2 linked regions of the Pelodiscus sinensis genome follow. The protein of the gene in region 2 interacts with the protein of the main gene of each other region in a pairwise test. Links are inferred from orthologs where the notes say so. Each region holds a gene or a part of one and is shown on either strand. Other genes may lie near its edges.

What was found.
Region 1: the proteins of FXR2 (region 2) and EWSR1 interact in a two-hybrid assay, tested with the Homo sapiens proteins (2 studies listed by BioGRID and IntAct). The link is inferred for Pelodiscus sinensis from reciprocal best matches to the Homo sapiens genes FXR2 and EWSR1.

Annotation. Positions count from the first base shown.
Region 1 is NC_134725.1:5,536,812-5,547,323, forward strand, and holds the start of EWSR1 (RNA-binding protein EWS), read left to right. Parts: upstream 1-6,151; 5' UTR 6,152-6,252; coding exon 6,253-6,265; intron 6,266-9,040; exon of another isoform or gene 9,041-9,061; coding exon of another isoform or gene 9,062-9,065; intron 9,066-10,512. UniProt on the Homo sapiens protein: Binds to ssRNA containing the consensus sequence 5'-AGGUAA-3'. Might normally function as a transcriptional repressor. EWS-fusion-proteins (EFPS) may play a role in the tumorigenic process.
Region 2 is NC_134734.1:9,202,503-9,213,372, reverse strand, and holds the start of FXR2 (RNA-binding protein FXR2), read right to left. Parts: upstream 4,516-10,870; 5' UTR 4,255-4,515; intron 1-4,254. Other genes in the region: SLC12A9 (solute carrier family 12 member 9), read left to right, coding at 8,454-8,679, 9,296-9,430, 10,016-10,147, 10,271-10,561. UniProt on the Homo sapiens protein: mRNA-binding protein that acts as a regulator of mRNAs translation and/or stability, and which is required for adult hippocampal neurogenesis. Specifically binds to AU-rich elements (AREs) in the 3'-UTR of target mRNAs.

The DNA of each region.
Region 1 (10,512 bases), on a different chromosome or scaffold from region 2:
GAGGGGGGGCCTGTCGCTCTCTGGTCAGCGCTAAGGGCCGAGGGGGGGCCTGTCGCTCTCTGGTCAGTGCTAAGGCCGAGGGGGGGCCTGTCGCTCTCTGGTCAGCGCTAAGGGCCGAGGGGGGGCCTGTCGCTCTCTGGTCAGCGCTAAGGCCGAGGGGGGGCCTGTCGCTCTCTGGTCAGCGCTAAGGGCCGAGGGGGGGCCTGTCGCTCTCTGGTCAGCGCTAAGGGCCGAGGGGGGGCCTGTCGCTCTCTGGTCAGCGCTAAGGGCCGAGGGGGGGCCTGTCGCGCTCTGGTCAGCGCTAAGGCCGAGGGGGGGCCTGTCGCTCTCTGGTCAGCGCTAAGGCCGAGGGGGGGCCTGTCGCTCTCTGGTCAGTGCTAAGGCCGAGGGGGGGCCTGTCGCTCTCTGGTCAGTGCTAAGGCCGAGGGGGGGCCTGTCGCTCTCTGGTCAGCGCTAAGGGCCGAGGGGGGGCCTGTCGCTCTCTGGTCAGCGCTAAGGGCCGAGGGGGGGTCCTGTCGCTCTCTGGTCAGCACTAAGGCCGAGGGGGGGCCTGTCGCTCTCTGGTCAGCGCTAAGGGCCGAGGGGGGGGCCTGTCGCTCTCTGGTCAGCGCTAAGGGCCGAGGGGGGGCCTGTCGCTCTCTGGTCAGTGCTAAGGCCGAGGGGGGGCCTGTCGCTCTCTGGTCAGCGCTAAGGGCCGAGGGGGGGCCTGTCGCTCTCTGGTCAGCGCTAAGGGCCGAGGGGGGGGCCTGTCGCTCTCTGGTCAGCGCTAAGGGCCGAGGGGGGGCCTGTCGCTCTCTGGTCAGTGCTAAGGCCGAGGGGGGGCCTGTCGCTCTCTGGTCAGCGCTAAGGGCCGAGGGGGGGCCTGTCGCTCTCTGGTCAGTGCTAAGGCCGAGGGGGGGCCTGTCGCTCTCTGGTCAGCGCTAAGGCCGAGGGGGGGCCTGTCGCTCTCTGGTCAGTGCTAAGGCCGAGGGGGGGCCTGTCGCTCTCTGGTCAGCGCTAAGGCCGAGGGGGGGCCTGTCGCTCTCTGGTCAGCGCTAAGGGCCGAGGGGGGGCCTGTCGCTCTCTGGTCAGTGCTAAGGGCCGAGGGGGGGCCTGTCGCTCTCTGGTCAGCGCTAAGGGCCGAGGGGGGGCCTGTCGCTCTCTGGTCAGCGCTAAGGCCGAGGGGGGGCCTGTCGCTCTCTGGTCAGCGCTAAGGGCCGAGGGGGGGCCTGTCGCTCTCTGGTCAGCGCTAAGGGCCGAGGGGGGGCCTGTCGCTCTCTGGTCAGCGCTAAGGGCCGAGGGGGGGCCTGTCGCTCTCTGGTCAGCGCTAAGGGCCGAGGGGGGGCCTGTCGCTCTCTGGTCAGCGCTAAGGGCCGAGGGGGGGCCTGTCGCTCTCTGGTCAGCGCTAAGGCCGAGGGGGGGCCTGTCGCTCTCTGGTCAGCGCTAAGGCCGAGGGGCCTGTCGCTCTCTGGTCAGCGCTAAGGGCCGAGGGGGGGCCTGTCGCTCTCTGGTCAGCGCTAAGGCCGAGGGGGGGCCTGTCGCTCTCTGGTCAGCGCTAAGGCCGAGGGGGGGCCTGTCGCTCTCTGGTCAGCGCTAAGGGCCGAGGGGGGGCCTGTCGCTCTCTGGTCAGCGCTAAGGGCCGAGGGGGGGCCTGTCGCTCTCTGGTCAGCGCTAAGGCCGAGGGGGGGCCTGTCGCTCTCTGGTCAGCGCTAAGGCCGAGGGGGGGCCTGTCGCTCTCTGGTCAGCGCTAAGGCCGAGGGGGGGCCTGTCGCTCTCTGGTCAGCGCTAAGGGCCGAGGGGGGGCCTGTCGCTCTCTGGTCAGCGCTAAGGGCCGAGGGGGGGCCTGTCGCTCTCTGGTCAGCGCTAAGGCCGAGGGGGGGCCTGTCGCTCTCTGGTCAGCGCTAAGGGCCGAGGGGGGGCCTGTCGCTCTCTGGTCAGCGCTAAGGCCGAGGGGGGGCCTGTCGCTCTCTGGTCAGCGCTAAGGGCCGAGGGGGGGCCTGTCGCTCTCTGGTCAGCGCTAAGGCCGAGGGGGGGCCTGTCGCTCTCTGGTCAGCGCTAAGGCCGAGGGGCCTGTCGCTCTCTGGTCAGCGCTAAGGGCCGAGGGGGGGCCTGTCGCTCTCTGGTCAGTGCTAAGGGCCGAGGGGGGGCCTGTCGCTCTCTGGTCAGCGCTAAGGGCCGAGGGGGGGCCTGTCGCTCTCTGGTCAGTGCTAAGGGCCGAGGGGGGGCCTGTCGCTCTCTGGTCAGCGCTAAGGCCGAGGGGGGGCCTGTCGCTCTCTGGTCAGCGCTAAGGGCCGAGGGGGGGCCTGTCGCTCTCTGGTCAGTGCTAAGGCCGAGGGGGGGCCTGTCGCTCTCTGGTCAGCGCTAAGGGCCGAGGGGGGGCCTGTCGCTCTCTGGTCAGCGCTAAGGGCCGAGGGGGGGCCTGTCGCTCTCTGGTCAGTGCTAAGGCCGAGGGGGGGCCTGTCGCTCTCTGGTCAGCGCTAAGGGCGAGGGGGGGCCTGTCGCTCTCTGGTCAGCGCTAAGGGCCGAGGGGGGGCCTGTCGCTCTCTGGTCAGCGCTAAGGGCCGAGGGGGGGCCTGTCGCTCTCTGGTCAGCGCTAAGGCCGAGGGGGGGCCTGTCGCTCTCTGGTCAGCGCTAAGGGCCGAGGGGGGGCCTGTCGCTCTCTGGTCAGCGCTAAGGCCGAGGGGGGGCCTGTCGCTCTCTGGTCAGCGCTAAGGCCGAGGGGCCTGTCGCTCTCTGGTCAGCGCTAAGGGCCGAGGGGGGGCCTGTCGCTCTCTGGTCAGCGCTAAGGCCGAGGGGGGGCCTGTCGCTCTCTGGTCAGCGCTAAGGCCGAGGGGGGGCCTGTCGCTCTCTGGTCAGCGCTAAGGGCCGAGGGGGGGCCTGTCGCTCTCTGGTCAGCGCTAAGGGCCGAGGGGGGGCCTGTCGCTCTCTGGTCAGCGCTAAGGGCCGAGGGGGGGCCTGTCGCTCTCTGGTCAGCGCTAAGGCCGAGGGGGGGCCTGTCGCTCTCTGGTCAGCGCTAAGGGCCGAGGGGGGGCCTGTCGCTCTCTGGTCAGCGCTAAGGCCGAGGGGGGCCTGTCGCTCTCTGGTCAGCGCTAAGGCCGAGGGGGGGCCTGTCGCTCTCTGGTCAGCGCTAAGGGCCGAGGGGGGGCCTGTCGCTCTCTGGTCAGCGCTAAGGGCCGAGGGGGGGCCTGTCGCTCTCTGGTCAGCGCTAAGGGCCGAGGGGGGGCCTGTCGCTCTCTGGTCAGTGCTAAGGCCGAGGGGGGGCCTGTCGCGCTCTGGTCAGCGCTAAGGGCCGAGGGGGGGCCTGTCGCTCTCTGGTCAGCGCTAAGGCCGAGGGGGGGCCTGTCGCTCTCTGGTCAGCGCTAAGGGCCGAGGGGGGGCCTGTCGCTCTCTGGTCAGCGCTAAGGCCGAGGGGGGGCCTGTCGCTCTCTGGTCAGCGCTAAGGCCGAGGGGGGGCCTGTCGCTCTCTGGTCAGCGCTAAGGGCCGAGGGGGGGCCTGTCGCTCTCTGGTCAGCGCTAAGGGCCGAGGGGGGGCCTGTCGCTCTCTGGTCAGCGCTAAGGCCGAGGGGGGGCCTGTCGCTCTCTGGTCAGCGCTAAGGCCGAGGGGGGGCCTGTCGCTCTCTGGTCAGCGCTAAGGCCGAGGGGGGGCCTGTCGCTCTCTGGTCAGCGCTAAGGCCGAGGGGGGGGCCTGTCGCTCTCTGGTCAGCACTAAGGCCGAGGGGGGGCCTGTCGCTCTCTGGTCAGCGCTAAGGCCGAGGGGGGGCCTGTCGCTCTCTGGTCAGCGCTAAGGGCCGAGGGGGGGCCTGTCGCTCTCTGGTCAGCGCTAAGGGCCGAGGGGGGGCCTGTCGCTCTCTGGTCAGCGCTAAGGGCCGAGGGGGGGCCTGTCGCTCTCTGGTCAGTTCTAAGGCCGAGGGGGGGCCTGTCGCGCTCTGGTCAGCGCTAAGGCCGAGGGGGGGCCTGTCGCTCTCTGGTCAGCGCTAAGGCCGAGGGGGGGCCTGTCGCTCTCTGGTCAGCGCTAAGGCCGAGGGGGGGCCTGTCGCTCTCTGGTCAGCGCTAAGGGCCGAGGGGGGGCCTGTCGCTCTCTGGTCAGCGCTAAGGGCCGAGGGGGGGCCTGTCGCTCTCTGGTCAGCGCTAAGGGCCGAGGGGGGGCCTGTCGCTCTCTGGTCAGCGCTAAGGGCCGAGGGGGGGCCTGTCGCTCTCTGGTCAGCGCTAAGGGCCGAGGGGGGGCCTGTCGCTCTCTGGTCAGTGCTAAGGCCGAGGGGGGGCCTGTCGCGCTCTGGTCAGCGCTAAGGGCCGAGGGGGGGCCTGTCGCTCTCTGGTCAGCGCTAAGGCCGAGGGGGGGCCTGTCGCTCTCTGGTCAGCGCTAAGGGCCGAGGGGGGGCCTGTCGCTCTCTGGTCAGCGCTAAGGCCGAGGGGGGGCCTGTCGCTCTCTGGTCAGCGCTAAGGCCGAGGGGGGGCCTGTCGCTCTCTGGTCAGCGCTAAGGGCCGAGGGGGGGCCTGTCGCTCTCTGGTCAGCGCTAAGGGCCGAGGGGGGGCCTGTCGCTCTCTGGTCAGCGCTAAGGCCGAGGGGGGGCCTGTCGCTCTCTGGTCAGCGCTAAGGCCGAGGGGGGGCCTGTCGCTCTCTGGTCAGCGCTAAGGCCGAGGGGGGGCCTGTCGCTCTCTGGTCAGCGCTAAGGCCGAGGGGGGGGCCTGTCGCTCTCTGGTCAGCACTAAGGCCGAGGGGGGGCCTGTCGCTCTCTGGTCAGCGCTAAGGCCGAGGGGGGGCCTGTCGCTCTCTGGTCAGCGCTAAGGGCCGAGGGGGGGCCTGTCGCTCTCTGGTCAGCGCTAAGGGCCGAGGGGGGGCCTGTCGCTCTCTGGTCAGCGCTAAGGGCCGAGGGGGGGCCTGTCGCTCTCTGGTCAGTTCTAAGGCCGAGGGGGGGCCTGTCGCGCTCTGGTCAGCGCTAAGGCCGAGGGGGGGCCTGTCGCTCTCTGGTCAGCGCTAAGGCCGAGGGGGGGCCTGTCGCTCTCTGGTCAGCGCTAAGGCCGAGGGGGGGCCTGTCGCTCTCTGGTCAGCGCTAAGGCCGAGGGGGGGCTCTGGTCAGCGCCAAGGGCCTGCAATGCCACAGGCTACTTGGGCTAGGCTGGGCCCACGCCAGGGCTGGCCTTACCGTGAGGCGAGCTGAGACGGCCTCCTCAGGTGCCAGACTCTGCGGTGGCGCCACTAGGACCCAGGGTGTAGAAACTTGTTTCTGCTGCTGGTGCAGCAAGGGAACATGGGGGCGTCATTTGAGCTTCCCGCCTCAAGTGCCAAAATTTTGTGGGCTGGTTCTGCCCACATCGGTCGAGCCACCGCTTAACTGGTAAGGCCCACACAGTGTTATTTCACGGTTAACATGGTACGGACATGGCATAATTCCCCCATGACATTAGCTCATTGCACTGAAACCCGCACAATGACGTCAGAGCTCTACCCACAGCTGTATGCAATACATCACAGCGGCGCACTGTGACGGTGCAATACATCACAGCGGCGCACTGTGACCGTGCAATGACATCACAGCGGCGCGCTGTGACCGTGCAATACATCACAGCGGCACACTGTGACCGTGCAATGACATCACAGCGGTGCGCTGTGACCGTGCAATGACATCACAGAGGCGCGCTGTGACCGTGCAATGACATCACAGTGCTGTGCTGTGACCGTGCAATGACATCACAGAGGCGCACTGTGACCGTGCAATGACATCACAGCAGTGCGCTGTGACCGTGCAATGACATCACAGAGGCGCACTGTGACCGTGCAATGACATCACAGTGCTGTGCTGTGACCGTGCAATGACATCACAGAGGCGCGCTGTGACCGTGCAATGACATCACAGCGGCACCCCAGTGCTCCATGTCCCCGGCACTGCAGGCTAGCTCAATGTGACCCATGCACGCCTCGCCCCGCACCCTGGCTGCGCGCTGCCCGCGCTCCCTTCCCCCACCGCTGAGGCCTAGTCTGCCTTTCCCTAGCGCGTCTCTTGAACGACGCTCCCTTGCTGGGATGGACTGAACCATTCGCCACCCCGAAGGGGAGAAAGGCTGCAGCGGCATCTGCGTGGCCGCTCTCGCTTTCCTTGCAGACCCCGTGTGCTCCTTGGCGGGGGCGGCGCCGGGCAGCGGGATGCGGCAGGGAACTGTAGTGAGCTCCCCCCGGTGCCGAGTGGTAGGAGCCGAGGTTGGAAAGGGTGCGCATGCGCACGAGCGCGCGGCAGAGCGACCAGACGTTGAGAGGACGAGGAGGAAGGCGAGAAAATGGCGTCGACGGGTGAGCGACGGGGCCGGGCCGGGCCGGGCGGCGCTGGGCGGGGGCCGGGCCCGATTCCAGCCCCAGCTCCGGGGGGAGGGCGCCCGGCGGGGGGCTGGGGCGCGGCCCGGCCGGCGCTTCTGGAAGCTTCCCGGGCCGCGTGGGGCGGCGCTGGCCATTGTGTAACGGCCGGCGGCGGGCGGGCCTGCCCGGCCGGGCCGGCAAATGGCGGAGGCGCCGGCGAAGGGCGGGACGGGCGCGTGCTCATGGCGGGCGCTGCGCCGGGGCCCCGCGTGGCTGCGGGCGCGGCGCTTCCTGCCGGGCCGCTGCACCGCCCGCGGGAATCCCGCCCGGCCCTGTCCCGGGAGCGCGCGGCCAGGCCCAGAGCGCGCTGCTGCTCGCGCCCGGCTCCAGCCGGTCCCGGGAGCTGCTGCTGGGAGTAGAATGGGGCCGGGGCCTTCTCACAGGCGCTGAGTCCGTAGCGCTGCCGGGTTTATGCATAAATGTTCTTAGGCACAGAGACAGTAGCGCACGAAAATCTTACAGCGGCCCTCGACAGTGCTTATGTACAGGGCTCTGGCTTAACATGAGAGGAATTGCCCTAGAGGGGCAGAGCAAGGAGTGATTACATCAAAATGTTAACATTCAAAGAGCTAGAAATAGTTGTCTTGAATTTTGGGGTGTATAGAAATATTTACAATCGTATTGAAGCAAAAACAGGATCTAAATAACTGTTTTTAACATAATTGCATGATTAAAGATCTTGTGCAAAGCACACATTGAAAACCGCACATCAGCAACTTTTAATCAGCATGTTATGTGGTGGTCATAGAACAAATAAGATTAAGTATTGGTAGTAAAAGTAATGATTTTGAGTGTGTCTATTGAAATGTGTATCAAAATGGAGGAACTGTAGTTTTTGTTTCTACTTGTTAGTCTTGTAATGCATTCCGTCCATCATTGTGTAATGCAAAATGCCTAGGTTTCTTAAGGAGAAATAGTTTTAGCTGCTGCTGCTGCTTAAGATTTCTGTAGTAGAGTGGGAAGGGAAGATGGATGGGGCAGTCACTCTTCCCATTAGCACTCAGTATTTGAAGTTTATTTTAAAATCTGCTTTGGGCATAGGCAGGCAATAACCTGCAGAAATTCTTTGGTAAATATTTACTGAGCCTTATTGTGGATATGGTTAGGGTGAAAAGGTAAGTAGTTTAATATTGGGTCTACAGATATATCATAGACCCCGTGATGAATACACCTGGCTACATTATGGTTTCTTTGTATAGGATAGATGGCAGAGTAACTTTTTCTGGGACCTTTACAAAGCTTGGTACAGACAAAGATGTTTTTACTATTTGGGAGTATCCATCTACATCAAACAAAGGAATTGTGTTGTGATTAAAGACCTGTTACATTATATGGCTGTTGGTTTGATAGCCTTGGTGTTGATACCAGTATTATACTGCATTTCACTTGCCAACAGCCCTCTTATGAAAAGACTCATCAGAAAAGCCTAAAGTTTTGCTCCAGTATGTCTTTGATTTGAACACCCTAATCCTTTCAGTTTATCTTTAAAAATCAGCACAGTGAAGATGTTTAAAATGGAGATTTTTAGAGCTTTAACATTAGAAAACTGAATAAAAATTCATGCTTCTAAAAAAAATTAAAACTGATTTTTATTAAATCTGATTTATTTAAATGTTTAATAAATATTTAAAATTATATTTGAAATTGACCGTTTGTCAGCCTTAATCTATTTAATATTTCAACAAAATAAAAAATGTTAAGCAGTGCAAGTTTAATCTGAATAAAAATGATATGTAAAATAATTGGATCTGCTAGTTCTAAAATTTTGAAGGATGGGGGCAGTCAATCAGATAAGTTCACTCTCTAGTCAGTTTAAATGCAAAATGTTTTAAATTTTTTTTATTAATCTAGCACAAGTTTAAGTGCTGGGTTTGTGCATTCCTGGTTTAATTTTAATTTAATTCAAATGACACTTGACCAATCCAGCAAAAAATTAGTAATCTGATAAATAGTTGTTAGATAATTGCTTACATATGTATAGATGTAATGTATCCTTGTTAGCAAAAAAAAAAAAAAAAAAAAAGCACAACATTAAGGCATTGTCTACACTAGAAAGTTTAAAGCGGGGCCGTGGCAGTACTTTAAGGTGGCAGTGTGACCACAGCTCTAAGTAAACCACCTCCACCAGGAGGAGCACTGTTCCCTGGTGTGTGTGTCTGTGTCTGTGTGTGTTCTTCACCAGCTGAGCCAGAATAGTGCAGTAAAGTGCCAGCATAGACTTAGCCTTCATGTAAAAGATGTAGTTACTTGCAAATCTACATATTTTAACATTTACCCATTGGGGAATCAAACGGTCTTTAAGAAAAGTGCAAATGCAAAATATGAATACATTTAATTATTTAAATCATATTTAATTGATGCGGCTCTGCCAGAAAACTTGTAGTACTGAGCAGTTAGATTTATTTTTTTAAATTAACCATTTAATGATTTACTTTCCTCCATGTGTACTCAGTTCTTTTATGGCTGCTTTCTGGCAGGTAATTTTTTTTTCCTCTGGAGAAAACCAATGAAGCATTTCTTTGAAGAAAATACAATTGTACACGAGTGTTGCAAAAAATTATAAGTTACAAATAGGTCAAACATCAGGCTTATCAACATTGACAATGTCACTTCAGTTTAAAGTTAAAGCCAAGCTCTTGAAGAGAGGAGCACCTCAAAAGAAAAGAAGGCATTTAAAGGAAAGTTCTTCTAACGCCACCATGAACAGTGGAAAAAAATATTTACTAAAGAAACATGTGTGAGTGAAATTGTCAAAATGATATTTAAAAATGCGCCTATTGTTCTGTTCAGTAAAGGAGCTTGTTTTTCTTCTGGAGCTGCTGCATTAGTGCTATACCATTGCATTGTTGAGTCTCATAAAACAGAAGAGAACTGAACACATAAGTCCCACAGAAATAAGAGCTTTTGAGAAGTTATAAGGAGGGATCCCGGAAATCCATTCGCCATGAGAAAATGTGAAATTTGCATTTTTAAAAAGAATCTTTAGTTTTTACATTTTATGAAAAAAATACAAATATATTTAAGTATAGTGAGCTCAGGGCTACACTTGATAAGCAAAAGTTTGGATAATTCAGAGACCAGGCAAAAAGCGCTAGCCCCAGGCATATGGCTTAGGCTGTCAATGGGATACCTGGATGGCTCTGTGTACATTTTCAGATTATCTGAATTTTTGCTTATCTGATCTGGTCCCAGTCCCAATCAGATCTTATAAACAGGGTTCCACTGTACATTATGGCTTGAGAAACTAACAAAGAGCATCTTATTTTTATCATGGAAAACTAGGATCCCTTTATATTGGGATCTCCTTTGGGATTGCACTTGGATGTGCTGAGACACCACTGAACCTGTTTTCCCTGCCAGGTTGGGCCTCCAGTATCCTGTCTTGAGTCAGATGTGCTAGTATGCTGCAACACACAGAGTCCCGGCCAAGCCCCTCAAAACTGCAGGCCTTAACTGAAGACAGCACAGTGAGATTCCTCTCTCCAGCACTGAGATACCCAGCCCCTCTGGGAGCTTAATCCTAGATAAACCCATCTGCTACGTCTAGATTGGCATGATTTTCCGGAAATGTTGTTTTTAACGGAAAAGTTTTCCATTAAAAGCATTTTCGGAAAAGAGCGTCTAGATTGGCAGGACGCTTTTCCGCAAAAGCACTTTTAGCGGAAAAGCGTCTGTGGCCAATCTAGTCGCACTTTTGTGCAAAAAAAGCCCTGATCGCCATTTTTGCGATCGGGGCTTTTTTGCGGAAAACAAATCTGAGCTGTTTACACTGACCCTTTTGCGCAAAACTTTTGTCGGAACAGGAACAGCATAGTATTTCCGCGAACAGCACTGATTTCTTACAGTAGGAAGTCCGTGCTTTTGTGGAAATTCAAGCAGCCAATGTAGACAGCTGGCAAGTTTTTCCAGAAAAGCAGCCGATTTTCCGGAAAAACTGGCCAGTCTAGACACAGCCATCTTATGCTGCATAGAGGACAGTCCAGGATAAGCTCATGAAATTTGCCCCTTTTCTCAATGTAAAGAGATATACACAGACTCCTTGTCCCTCCAAGTAAGAGTTATTCACACTGGGCTTATTAGTAAACATAACTGATTTATTAAATAAAAAAATGTAGGATTTAAGTGATCATAAGAGAGAGCAAACAAAGCAAAGTAGGTAACTAAGCAAAATAAAACAGAACACG
Region 2 (10,870 bases):
CTAACATTATGTTTAACCTTTAAATATTATGTTTAACCATGAAACCAAGTAAACGAGATTTTACATCCCTAGTTCATTCCTTCTGGGGCACCTAGCACTGACCACGGTCAGAAGACAGGATACTGGAACTTTGGTCTGAACAAGTATGGACATTCTTATATTAAGCTCTCCTAGCTGACAGACTTCAAAGGAAGAGGCAACAGGCAACAGACAGGTTAGAATTTTTTTTTTTTTTAAATCAAAGGCCACTGAATGATCAGTCAGCCCAGAAATTTGTCGATAAAGGTGCATGAATCCTCCCTATCTTACAGCTTTTACCAAGTCCAGGTTCCATTTTTGCTAGATAAGGCCTAAGTGCTAACTGACTGTAGCTGAACTACCATCTTCATCTGTAGCCAGCAAGGCCTCTGCACTATCCACAGCCCACCTCTTTGATTATGCTCGCTCTGGTTTTGATACTCCAGTAGCCTCAGCAGAGATCAGCTGTTCTAGGCATACATTGTCCAGAATCCCAGCTTCTTCCACAAGACCATCTTCAAAGCTAAATTATAAAGCACTTCAATGAGACCAGATTTTCAGACAGCATGAAAGATTCTCCTGTTGCTGCTCTGCCACGAGGTGCCATAAGTGCAAAATTGTAAGGCTAGGCCTGCCTGGCTAATTGAGACAACTGACTCACCAACCTTAAGCACTCTAACGAAACATCAGCATATTTAAACATACACCACCAAGAGGAGCTTGCAGGAAACAAGATTGTCCACAAATACTAGCTGGATTCTTAGCCTGTTGGAAGGCAGCATGAATTCAGAATGATATAAGTGGGGGTAATAAACGTAAATAACACAGATATCAATCCTCATTCTTTGTTCTGCAATCAGCGTATGTTTGCAAAGAGGTTCTGAATCCAAGTGCAGCTGCAAAAGAAAAGATTTGGGAAATCAGGGATGAGACCCACTGCATGACCACTGTCAAGTCACCAAATCTGAGTCTGGGTTTCCCCACCTGCAAGATGGGAATCACAATCATTCCTTGCTTCTTGGTTTCAGTTATGAACAGAGAATCTTACTAGATTTGGACAGCCCCAAGCTAGCATAATAGGATCGGAGAGTACGGAGCTGAGATACTATGTTCTTTGTGGGAACAGCAGATTTCAATACAAATCTAACCACTGGCATTTCATTTTAATACCTCAAATCAGAAAGGTGACTGCATAACAATAGCATTTTTCACATGAACCCCCGGGCTCTGCCTCTGAGAATCAAGGTTCTCAAAGATATTTAGCCTGTCAAATTCCACAGACCCTTTTAAGGAACTGGACTTTAGTTCCTAGTGCTATTAACCCATCAGGCACCAGTGTCCAATACAGACACAGGAATATTCATATAGGTTCCAGCTGCAGCAGTTTTGATTCCTTGCACAGGGTCATAAATTTACACCACATTCTGAAAGATGAGTCTGCAGAGAACATGCTCAAATTTGAGTTCCCAGGCGAAGAGGGGCATCTAAGTTTTGCCTTTGGTTTAGCAGGTCACAAAGACATTTTTGGAGAATAACCAAGCTTTATGAGTTTTGATAGGGTCAGTCTTCAAAGATGAAAATAACGCAGCTTGCCAAACTTTTATCCAACCTTGTTCTGTGGCAGTAAGAGAAAGCCATTCAAGAACAAAATCTGCTTCCTTAAGGCAGCACCCTCACAGGTATTTTCAGCCATCAGGGATTATGGAGGCAATCACATGAAACCACCACAATGGCTCTAGGGCTCAGAAAGAAGCTAGGAAATATTGACTGCCCATCCTGCTCTGGCCTAAAAACTACACTTGAGAGAAAGCAAGATCTAGCAGAAAGGACAACAGAGGGAACTCAGAGACTATTCCCAGAAGCCCTGACCAGCTTGGTGTGTGAGTTGAGCAAATCCTTTCACTTCCGAGGTTGTTCTGCCTCCCCTGCTCTGTTTAGACAGGGATGGTGCACACATAGTGTACATTATGAATGCTGAACAACTGGCCCCACCATAGCATAAGTGAACATACAGAAATTTCCACTGATTTCAAGTCAGTCTAAGAAGAATATGACCTCAGATTTGTAGAAGGGGCTACAAATCACGCTATTCCTCTCCCCATGAAACAAGAGAACTCAAATCCTTGGCCCATTCACAAAGAATAGAGTGGGATGCAATCTGATCACATTAAGGGATCTTGCATCAGATACTAATATGTAGCACTTGTCACAGCATCAACTTGATTAGGCATTAGAAATTGGAGGGATGGGTTCTGCTATTCAAGTGACTTCAGTCCCATACAAGGCACATCCAGCTGCCTGTGGAGTTCTGGCAGAGAAGAGCTGAAACAAACATCTGGCTGATTCGGAGAGTACTGCAGCCTTTCTTTTCCTTGGACACAATAAAGGTTAGGATCACTGTAACCTGACTGGCCAGTGGCACGATTTGAACCCTCCCAGATTTTTGTTAAGGAAGGGAGCTCTGAGCCCTGCAATAGCTGGATTTAGGAGGCAGGGCTGGGCTTGAGAGACAATGTGAGAAGGAGCACTGAGGAGGAGTTCCTGTGGGAAAATGAAGGGATCTGTGAAATAATTGTGCTTGTAGTTCTAGAAGAGAGGCAACATGGGAAAGTGGATATGGAAAAGGAGAGTCCGATGCAAAAACTACAATGAAGAAGCAAAACTTCTAAGAGGTCCAGAGAAAAAGGAGGAAAAAATTGGAGTGTGTGTGTGGGGACAAACGGGTTTATGTAGAACTTAGAGACAAGGGGGAGGAAGGCACAGTGCACCACAGGCTAAACTGGGGTTCCCACAGCCATGCTGCATTCTCTCCATGTTTTGACGCCCACCTGAATCAGGGCCCTTAAGGATGCCCATTTAGCTCAGTGACTCTCCACCATTAGGAGGACCTCCAATCCCCAGTGACTCAGTAACAAAAACTGCATGGGATCCCTATGAGAGGAAAACCTCAATGCTAAGGAAGGGGAGAGTTCTGTGTGCCCATCCCATAGGTCCTTACTGAGCCATGCAGGGTCCTAAGTCCTTCAGTCATGCTCCAACACCTTCCCTATTCCCTCCCACTCCTCCCCACAACACAGACACACACCATCCACATGTTTACCCACATAGTCCTTCCCCCTCTCTCTCCAAGCTGCTATTAACACCTCAAGGCCCTTTGCTTCAGAGCCCGCAGCCACCTGACCCCCTCAGTTACTTACACCCCTAGACTTCCCACTTTTGCCCAGATCCTTCCAATTTTATTCCCCCCTCAAATCTTACTCTTAAGCCCCATCCACTTACCTGCTTCTCACTATGGTCTCCATATTGACAGCTGTAGTTTCCATTCTCCCTGCTGTCAGTTACTCTTTCAGGTGATCGCAAACCCAGCCTCTTCTCCCATAATGCCCCTCACCCAACAGTTATCCTCCAGTCACCCCACATCTTACCTCCAGCCCCACCCCAGGACCCCAGTAGTCCACCCCTTTCTCTAAACCTTCCCAATTCCCTGTTCCATCTAAAAACCCCTAAGCCTCTCCCACCACGTGGCTTGCACGCCACTGTTCCCCCAGTTACTTTCCCACCATCTCCTCATCATACCCAAAATTAACTTCCCTAACCGGCCCTCAACAATTCATTCACTTACCCATGCCTTGTCTTACCTCCCCACCTTCCTTCACCCCATCACACATCCACTCCCAAACACCCCACTACCTCCTCGCCATTCACCCCATCATACATCCTCCCTACACACTCCACTGCCACCCAATCCTCTGTGATCTCCCCTCCCGCCACACAGGAATACCCCTGCCCCCCTCACTAGACACCCTCCCCCGCCTCCCATTCCAACCACCAGCTCCTCTATGACCTGCCTTCCCTCTTTCCCCCACTCTCCACTATCCCCTCCCTCTAACGGCCCTCCACACGCCTTTCTGACCTTCCTCTCCCTGGGGCCTGCCTCGCCCTGCCACCCTCCCCCCTCCCACAAAACACTCCCCCCAAAGACCCCCCCACCTGTATGACCTCTTCCCACCCGGGGCCTTCCCCACCCTCTCCAATCTTACACCCTCACCAGACACCCTCCCCAAAACCCTTTACAGTCTCCCCCACCCATTCATATACCTCCTCTCCCTCATTTGCCAGTAGCATCTCCCCCAACGGCCCCCATCCTTGTGCAACCCCCTCCCCACACCGAGGCCTGCCCACCAGTCTCGTACTCCCGCCAGACACTCAACCCTCCACTCAACCCCGCGCGCTGACCTTGTAGAAGGCGCCGTTGGAGCCGCGAAGCTCCACGGGCAGCCCCTCCATGGGCCCGGCCACCGCCGCCCCGCCGGGGAGGGGCCCAGGCCCCGGGAGCCGCCCGGCGCCGCGGGGGGGGGAGGAGGCAGCGCCGCAGGGTCTGGCCCGGGGGGGGATGGGAGGCGCCGCGGCCCGCTCCCGCTCCCGCTCCGGCTCCGCCACCGTGAGGCAGGGACCGACCCGCCGCCGCCGCTACCGCCTCACACCGCGCGCGCGGCCCCTCCCCCTTCGCGCGCGTACACCGCGCAGGCGCGGCCGGGAGGGGCGGGGCACGCGCGCGCGCCGCTCCACCAATCGCCGAGCGCCAGCCCAGGTCCGCTGGCCAATGGAAGAACGCAACTCTACTACCAACCAATCGCGACCAGCGTGGCTAAGCTAGGCGCGTGCTCAAGCCCCACCTCCCAACGAGAAGACGTCGGGTTCGCCAAGGACGCGCGCCCGCCCCGCCCCTCTGCCAGGACACCCAATCGGTGGGCCTCCCTGCTCCCGCTGACCAATCAGCATGCCCCCGCTTCTTTCCCACCTACACCGGCAACCAACCCTGGCCCCGCCCCGCTCCCAAACCAAGAAACGCCCAGCGTTTGGCCCGTACCCAATCACGGGCCGGGACCCGCCCCCAACCGCGCGGCTTCCGCGCTCCGAATTGGCTGCACTGCGAGATCAATCAAATGGGGCAGCTGGGGCCCCAGGCCCTGCCCCCGGCATTCTACGGCCTAGGAACATGGTGGGAAAGGGGAAAATATCCCACAGTTCCCTGGGCCTCTAGCCCCTCCGTATTCCATAATCCCCAGGGGCCTCCGAGCCCCCCAACTTCCCAGTCTCCTTAGACCCTCATCCCGCAGTCCTCTAGGGCTCTGTGGGCTTCCCTGGTATCCCACAATCTCCCAGTACCACCCCCATGTCCCACAATCCCTGAGCGCCCCGCCCCGGTCATCCAAGGCCTGAATGATTCCATATGCTGAGTGCATCAGGTGCGAGGGGGTGGATTCTATGGTTCCATTGGGGCGTTCTGGCTGCATGTGGGAGGTGTGAGAGACCAGTCTCTATGGTTCCAATGAGGACGCCTTAGCAGCACTTACTTGGTGGGTGTGGGACGACGGACTCTATGATTCTGACTGATCCTTGTTAGGTGAAATGTGCTTCATAAAATTCAGCTGAAGGTCTGAAAAATGTCACCCCAAATAATTACATTTGGGCAAAATTACAGGGAACCGAAAACGGTCTCATGGTGAGTGACCATAACTGCACTATCCGGATTCTCATTCACTGACCATTTTGAAATCAAGGACTGTTTTTCTGAACGACCAGCTGTAGAAAGTACTGAGGGGAACGTCTCCAGCCTGCACTGTACAGCACGGAGCACACTGGGGATCCACCCTGGTGGGTGTCCAGGCATCGTGAGGAGACACTAGGATAGAGCTCTGCAGTAGGTGGTGCTATTGATCCCTGCTGGCCTGGGGATCTAGGAGTGAGAGAATAGCTTGGAAACATGACAGGAGTGCCCCCTGCAGGCTCACAAGTACAGTCAGGCCAGAAAAGGCAGGCAAAAACAAGCAAAGAGGATTTGGTCTCAGTGGGAAAATTTTGATTTTCGGAAGATATTTGAATACTGAGAAATCTACCTATCCCCATGTCTACCCATCTAACCCCATATACTTCCCTCTATCCATCCATCTGTTCCCCTCACCACTGCTCTCTCTATCCAGCCCTATGACCACAAGGGTCCCTTTAGGCTTGCCCGCTTCCCAGGATTTCCAATAAGGTTCTCTAGCCCAGCATCCTGCCTTACAACAGTGGCCAGCACAGGAGGCCCCACAGGGTCCCAGCCTCTGGCACTAAGCAGCTTGGGGCTAGGCTGGCTCAGGAGAGATTTGGGATTGTGAGGTCTGGAGCCTGGATCTTTCCCAGCACCATGTTCAGATACTGCTCAGCTCAACACCACAACCTGCCACATGGGGCTGAGCTTTCCAGGGCAGAAGGATGGTAAATGACATGGCTACATACACAGGAGCAGGAATGTTGGTGGGGTACAGTGGGGCAGGACTGAGGTGCACCAGCAGGCCTGGGGAGGGGTGACTGGGTATCGTTGCCTCGACCCATCAGCCACAGTCAGTCAAATTGATCTGAGGTGCTGAGGTCGGGTCAGGGTCCCACTATCAGGGTCACTGTATGGCCTCCTGGGTGCCACAAATATCCCTCCCCACAGGACCACAGGCTGGGTCAGAAACCAGCCCCTGTGTCTGTGTGTATTGTGTGTATGTGTGCACAGCACAGTGCATGTGTACCGGGCAAGTGTGTGTATATATAGTACTCTGTGTGTAGCAAGAAAGCGTGTATGTACACAGTACTGTGTGTGGGTACTGAGCATGTATGCATGTACACAGTAATGTGTGTAACACACAAGTGTGTGTTTGTGTACCAAGAAAGTGTGTATGTTTATTTACACAGCACTGTGCATGTGTACCAGGAAAGTGTCTGTGTGTGTGTTTACACAGTGGTGTGTACCGTATGTTTGTTATGTACCCAATGCTCTGTACCAGTAAACTGGAAAAGCGTGTGTGTGTGTGTGTGTACAGAGAAAATGTGTGTGTACAGGGGTGATAGCAGAGAGTGTGCATGGGGGGGCACAGGCTGGATGTGGGGATGGGAGGAAGGAAGCAGGACAGGAGAAGAAAGAGCTCTGTGTGTGTGTGAGAGAGAGAGAGGCAGAGATGGGAAGAAGGAAGGAGAGAGGAGGAGAAGGATGGATGTATATGAGGACGAATGCAGGGATGGAAGGGAGGAGGAAGAGCTGGAGGAGGACACTGTGGAGGGGGGGCAGGATCTGAGCTCACAGACGCCCATTAAGTCACACCCGGGGGCGGGAGTGGAAGGGGGGGGGCTCGTCACATGAGCAGCCTGTGACCCAGCCGCCGGTTCAGGAGAGCACTGCATGGAGCTAGGGGAGGGACCCGGCCACCTCCCCCCCCTCCCCATCGACCCCACCCCAGAGCATCCCCAACTAAAGGTTTGTGCATCTCCGGGCTGGGAGCCAGGACGCCTGGGTTCTCTTCCCAGCTCTGGGAGAAGAGTGGGAGCTGGCGGTTCAGGACTCCTGTTTCTCTTTCTGGCCTATGGAGAGGAGTGGGGGCTGGTGAGTTGGAGCGGGGGCTGGGAGCCAGGACTCCTGGGTTCCTCTCTCCCCAGCGCTGTGAAGGGGGTGGGTCTGGTGGCCAGGAAATCCATTTAATCTCCTCCATTCAGCTACCTTCCACCTGGGGGCTAAGGCCCGCCCTCCTAGGAACGCGCCGGCTTAAATGATCCTCTCCCAGCATAAGCTCCTTCTTCCTTGTCTCCTCCCTGAGTCCTCGGGGGCAGCCTGACGCACAGCCTACAGCCGGTGAGCTTCCGCCCTCCAGAAGTTTGCCCCCACCCCCACCCATTTACCCTAGAAGAGAAACCAGGAACAGGGGTGTCCTCCCCATCTCTGGGGGTGGGGGGCTGAATTTGGAGGATCCACGCCCATTGGGTGTCTCCTGAATTTGGTTTGCTCTTTCCTGCATCTGACTTGGATTAATTTTTCTCCTCGTTGATTGCTCCCAAACCGGGCTGACTTTAAAGGTTCATACCCCAGTTTTTAAGTTGCTTCAGAGAGAGCTTTTAAACAAGAGTGTGCATTTCCTGTCTCCATTTAATCATAAGAATCTAGCCTGGTATTTTTTAAGAGTTCAAACCCACTTTCTTAGCTGTCTTTTGAAGTTTCCCAGCCATCTGCTTTGTGCATCAAAACACAGATAAATTTTTCTACCTGTTAAATAAAGCACCTGGGGAGGTTTGTATGGTACAAACCCAATTTTCTCTCCTTATTTCAAAGGCAGATCTACAGTGGGATTCAGAGCATGCTTGTGCATTGCAGCAGGACTGAAGTCTTTTCCTTTTAATCTCTGCAATTTTAAGGCTGGCATTCCCAGCCCTGTGCAGTATGGCAGACTAGACCATGTAACTGGTGTTTGTAGAATTTCAGGCCAAAGGGGAGATGATCTAGCTAGATTTTGGGGTGAGGGATTGCAGGGGTGCCTGAGGAGGGGCATGGGAGCTGGGGAGGAGAACTAGGGAGAAGAGGGGTTTTGCCAATAATGCCTCCTTCCCCTCTCCCAGGGTGACCAGGCCCCCCTGCCATGTCCACTGAGAGCTCCCCTCTGTTGAGCTACCGGCTCTTCAGCGTGGTGGACGAGGGGGAGATGCCAAGCAGCCGGGCCCAAGAGGAGGCACCCCTCGTGGGTGGGGGCATAGGCCCCCTGGGCCCCCCACAGCCTGACCCGGCCCGACGGCTCTCCACTTTCTTTGGCGTCGTGGTGCCCACAGTGTTGTCCATGTTCAGCATCGTTGTCTTCATGCGTGTGGGTGAGTGACTCTACCCTGCTGATTAGTGCATGGTTATTGGCAAAAGCCCTCTTCTCCCTCCTCAACTCCCCCCCCCCCCCAAAGGAAACTTCTCTGCCTCCCATAGGATTCTCTCCCTCCATCCCCTGCCCACATTGTGTGCTGCCCTTAAGAATAGCAGGAAACCTCCGTCCCCATCCCCACTGATGCATGCTTGATTTCCGGCCAAAATCATGTGGTGGGCTAATGGGGGCTTGGCCCATACTTACCCCTTGCTGCCTCCAACCCAGCTGGCTGTTCAGCTTCTTGTCACAATTAGCAACTGATTCATCCGGGTTGGTTGTGCATACATTCCATCGACATCATAAGGCATGGAATTCCCTAGATCACTGGTGCCTGCATACTTGTACCTTATGGGCACTGAAAGCCAATTCCTTATTGTAATTAGTGGCTTACTAAAGGTGAGCACCATTAAACAGGAGAGGTTCGTGCTTAACCGGGATGTGGGCCCTAAGGCCATGTGGATGGGCCCAATCCTGGAAGCTATATAGAGGGCAGAATTCTGGGCTTGCCCTCCGTCCAGTTCTGCCAATGCCCCTCCCTTCTTACCTGCAGCTCCCTATCTGTCATCTCTTAGGTTTCGTGGTGGGACATGCTGGGTTCCTGCAGTCGCTGCTTATGCTGGTGGTAGCCTATGTCATCATTTTACTGACCGTCCTGTCTGTCTGTGCCATCTGCACTAATGGTGCCATCCAAGGGGGTGGGGCATATTGTATCCTTCCGCCAGCGGGCTGGTACATGGTGTGCGGGGTGGCCAGAATTACAGCCAGTTCGTTGGCTCCTCTCAACACCCTCCTATGGGTAAGGGGGGGGGGCTGTGTGCCTCAGTGTGGGATGGGGTGATTCCAGGTGGGGGACCAGGCCTCTGCAAGGGAGAGGGGGTCAGCTAGAAGTAGCCGAGGGGCCCTCTAGAAAATTGGGGGCTAGGGGTATGTAGGCTGTGTTGGTTGGATGAGGGCAATGTGATTACAGAGGGGGTCTTTGGGGTGAACACTGGGATGCGGGGATGTATAGAAGGCCGTCTCTGGGGGGATGGGGAGTAAAACTCAAGGGGGCTAGATCTGAGGGGAATGTATGAGGGTTTGGGGAGATCTGTTTATGTTCGGAGTCTTTGGGGGCAGACATTAGGATGTGGAGGAGGAGAGATGGGGGGCAGGACATTGGCTGTGGAGCCAGGTAGGGATTGTCTCAATGGGGGAGAAGAGACTGACTATAGCTCTGTCTGTGGGCAGTGGTAGTGGCAGCAATTCTCTCTTCCTCCCCCCCCATGGCGTTTCCTTGACAACTGCCCCCCCAGTCATGATCTCGCGGACGCTGGGCCCCGAGTTTGGGGGCAGCATCGGGCTCATGTTCTACTTGGCCAACGTCTGCGCCTGTGGGGTTTACGTGCTGGGGCTGGTGGAGGCTGTGCTGGACGTCTTTGGGGCAGGTGAGCCCAGACGCCGGGGTGCCTCCCCAGAGGGCTGGTGGATTAGAGCGGGGGGGCTGGGAGTTAGGACTCCGGGTTCTCCTCTGCCCTAATGGTCATTCCTGTCCTTCCCATCCCCTCCAGATGGGACAGATCCCCCCGGCGCCCATGCCCTGCCCCAGGGCTATTTCTACAGCTTCCTGTATGGCTCACTCGTGCTACTGCTCTGTTTGCTGGTCTGCCTGGTGGGTGCCCGCATCTATGCCCGTGCTGCCTTCCTCATCTTCCTGGTGGTGAACCTGGTGCTGCTGGCCATCTTCCTCAGCTTCTTCGTGGTGGGGCCCCGCCCGGTGCCCGTGGCCCGTGATGTCAACCACACCTTCAACACCAGCTTCACCGGCTTCCGCCTCGACACCCTGCGTGCCAACCTGCATGGTCAGCAGGGGCAGGGCACAGGGGGATTCTGGGGTGGGGGAAGGAGCAGCTCAGATGGAGGAGGGGCCCAAGATGTTGAAGGGAGGGGGGATGGCAGGGGGTAGGAGGGAGAGGGATACAAGGGGGTGTGGAGGGACAGAATGGGTTTGGGGGCTGTCGAGAGATGGAGTGGGGCAAGTCTGGGATGGGGAAGCAGAGGGGAAAGGGGGGCATAGGCTGGGGTGGTAGCCATGTGCCCTCCTCTACATGCCATCAGCTGGAGAAAGCAAACACTGGAGGATGGTGGAGGGAGGGAGCTGACATGGAGCT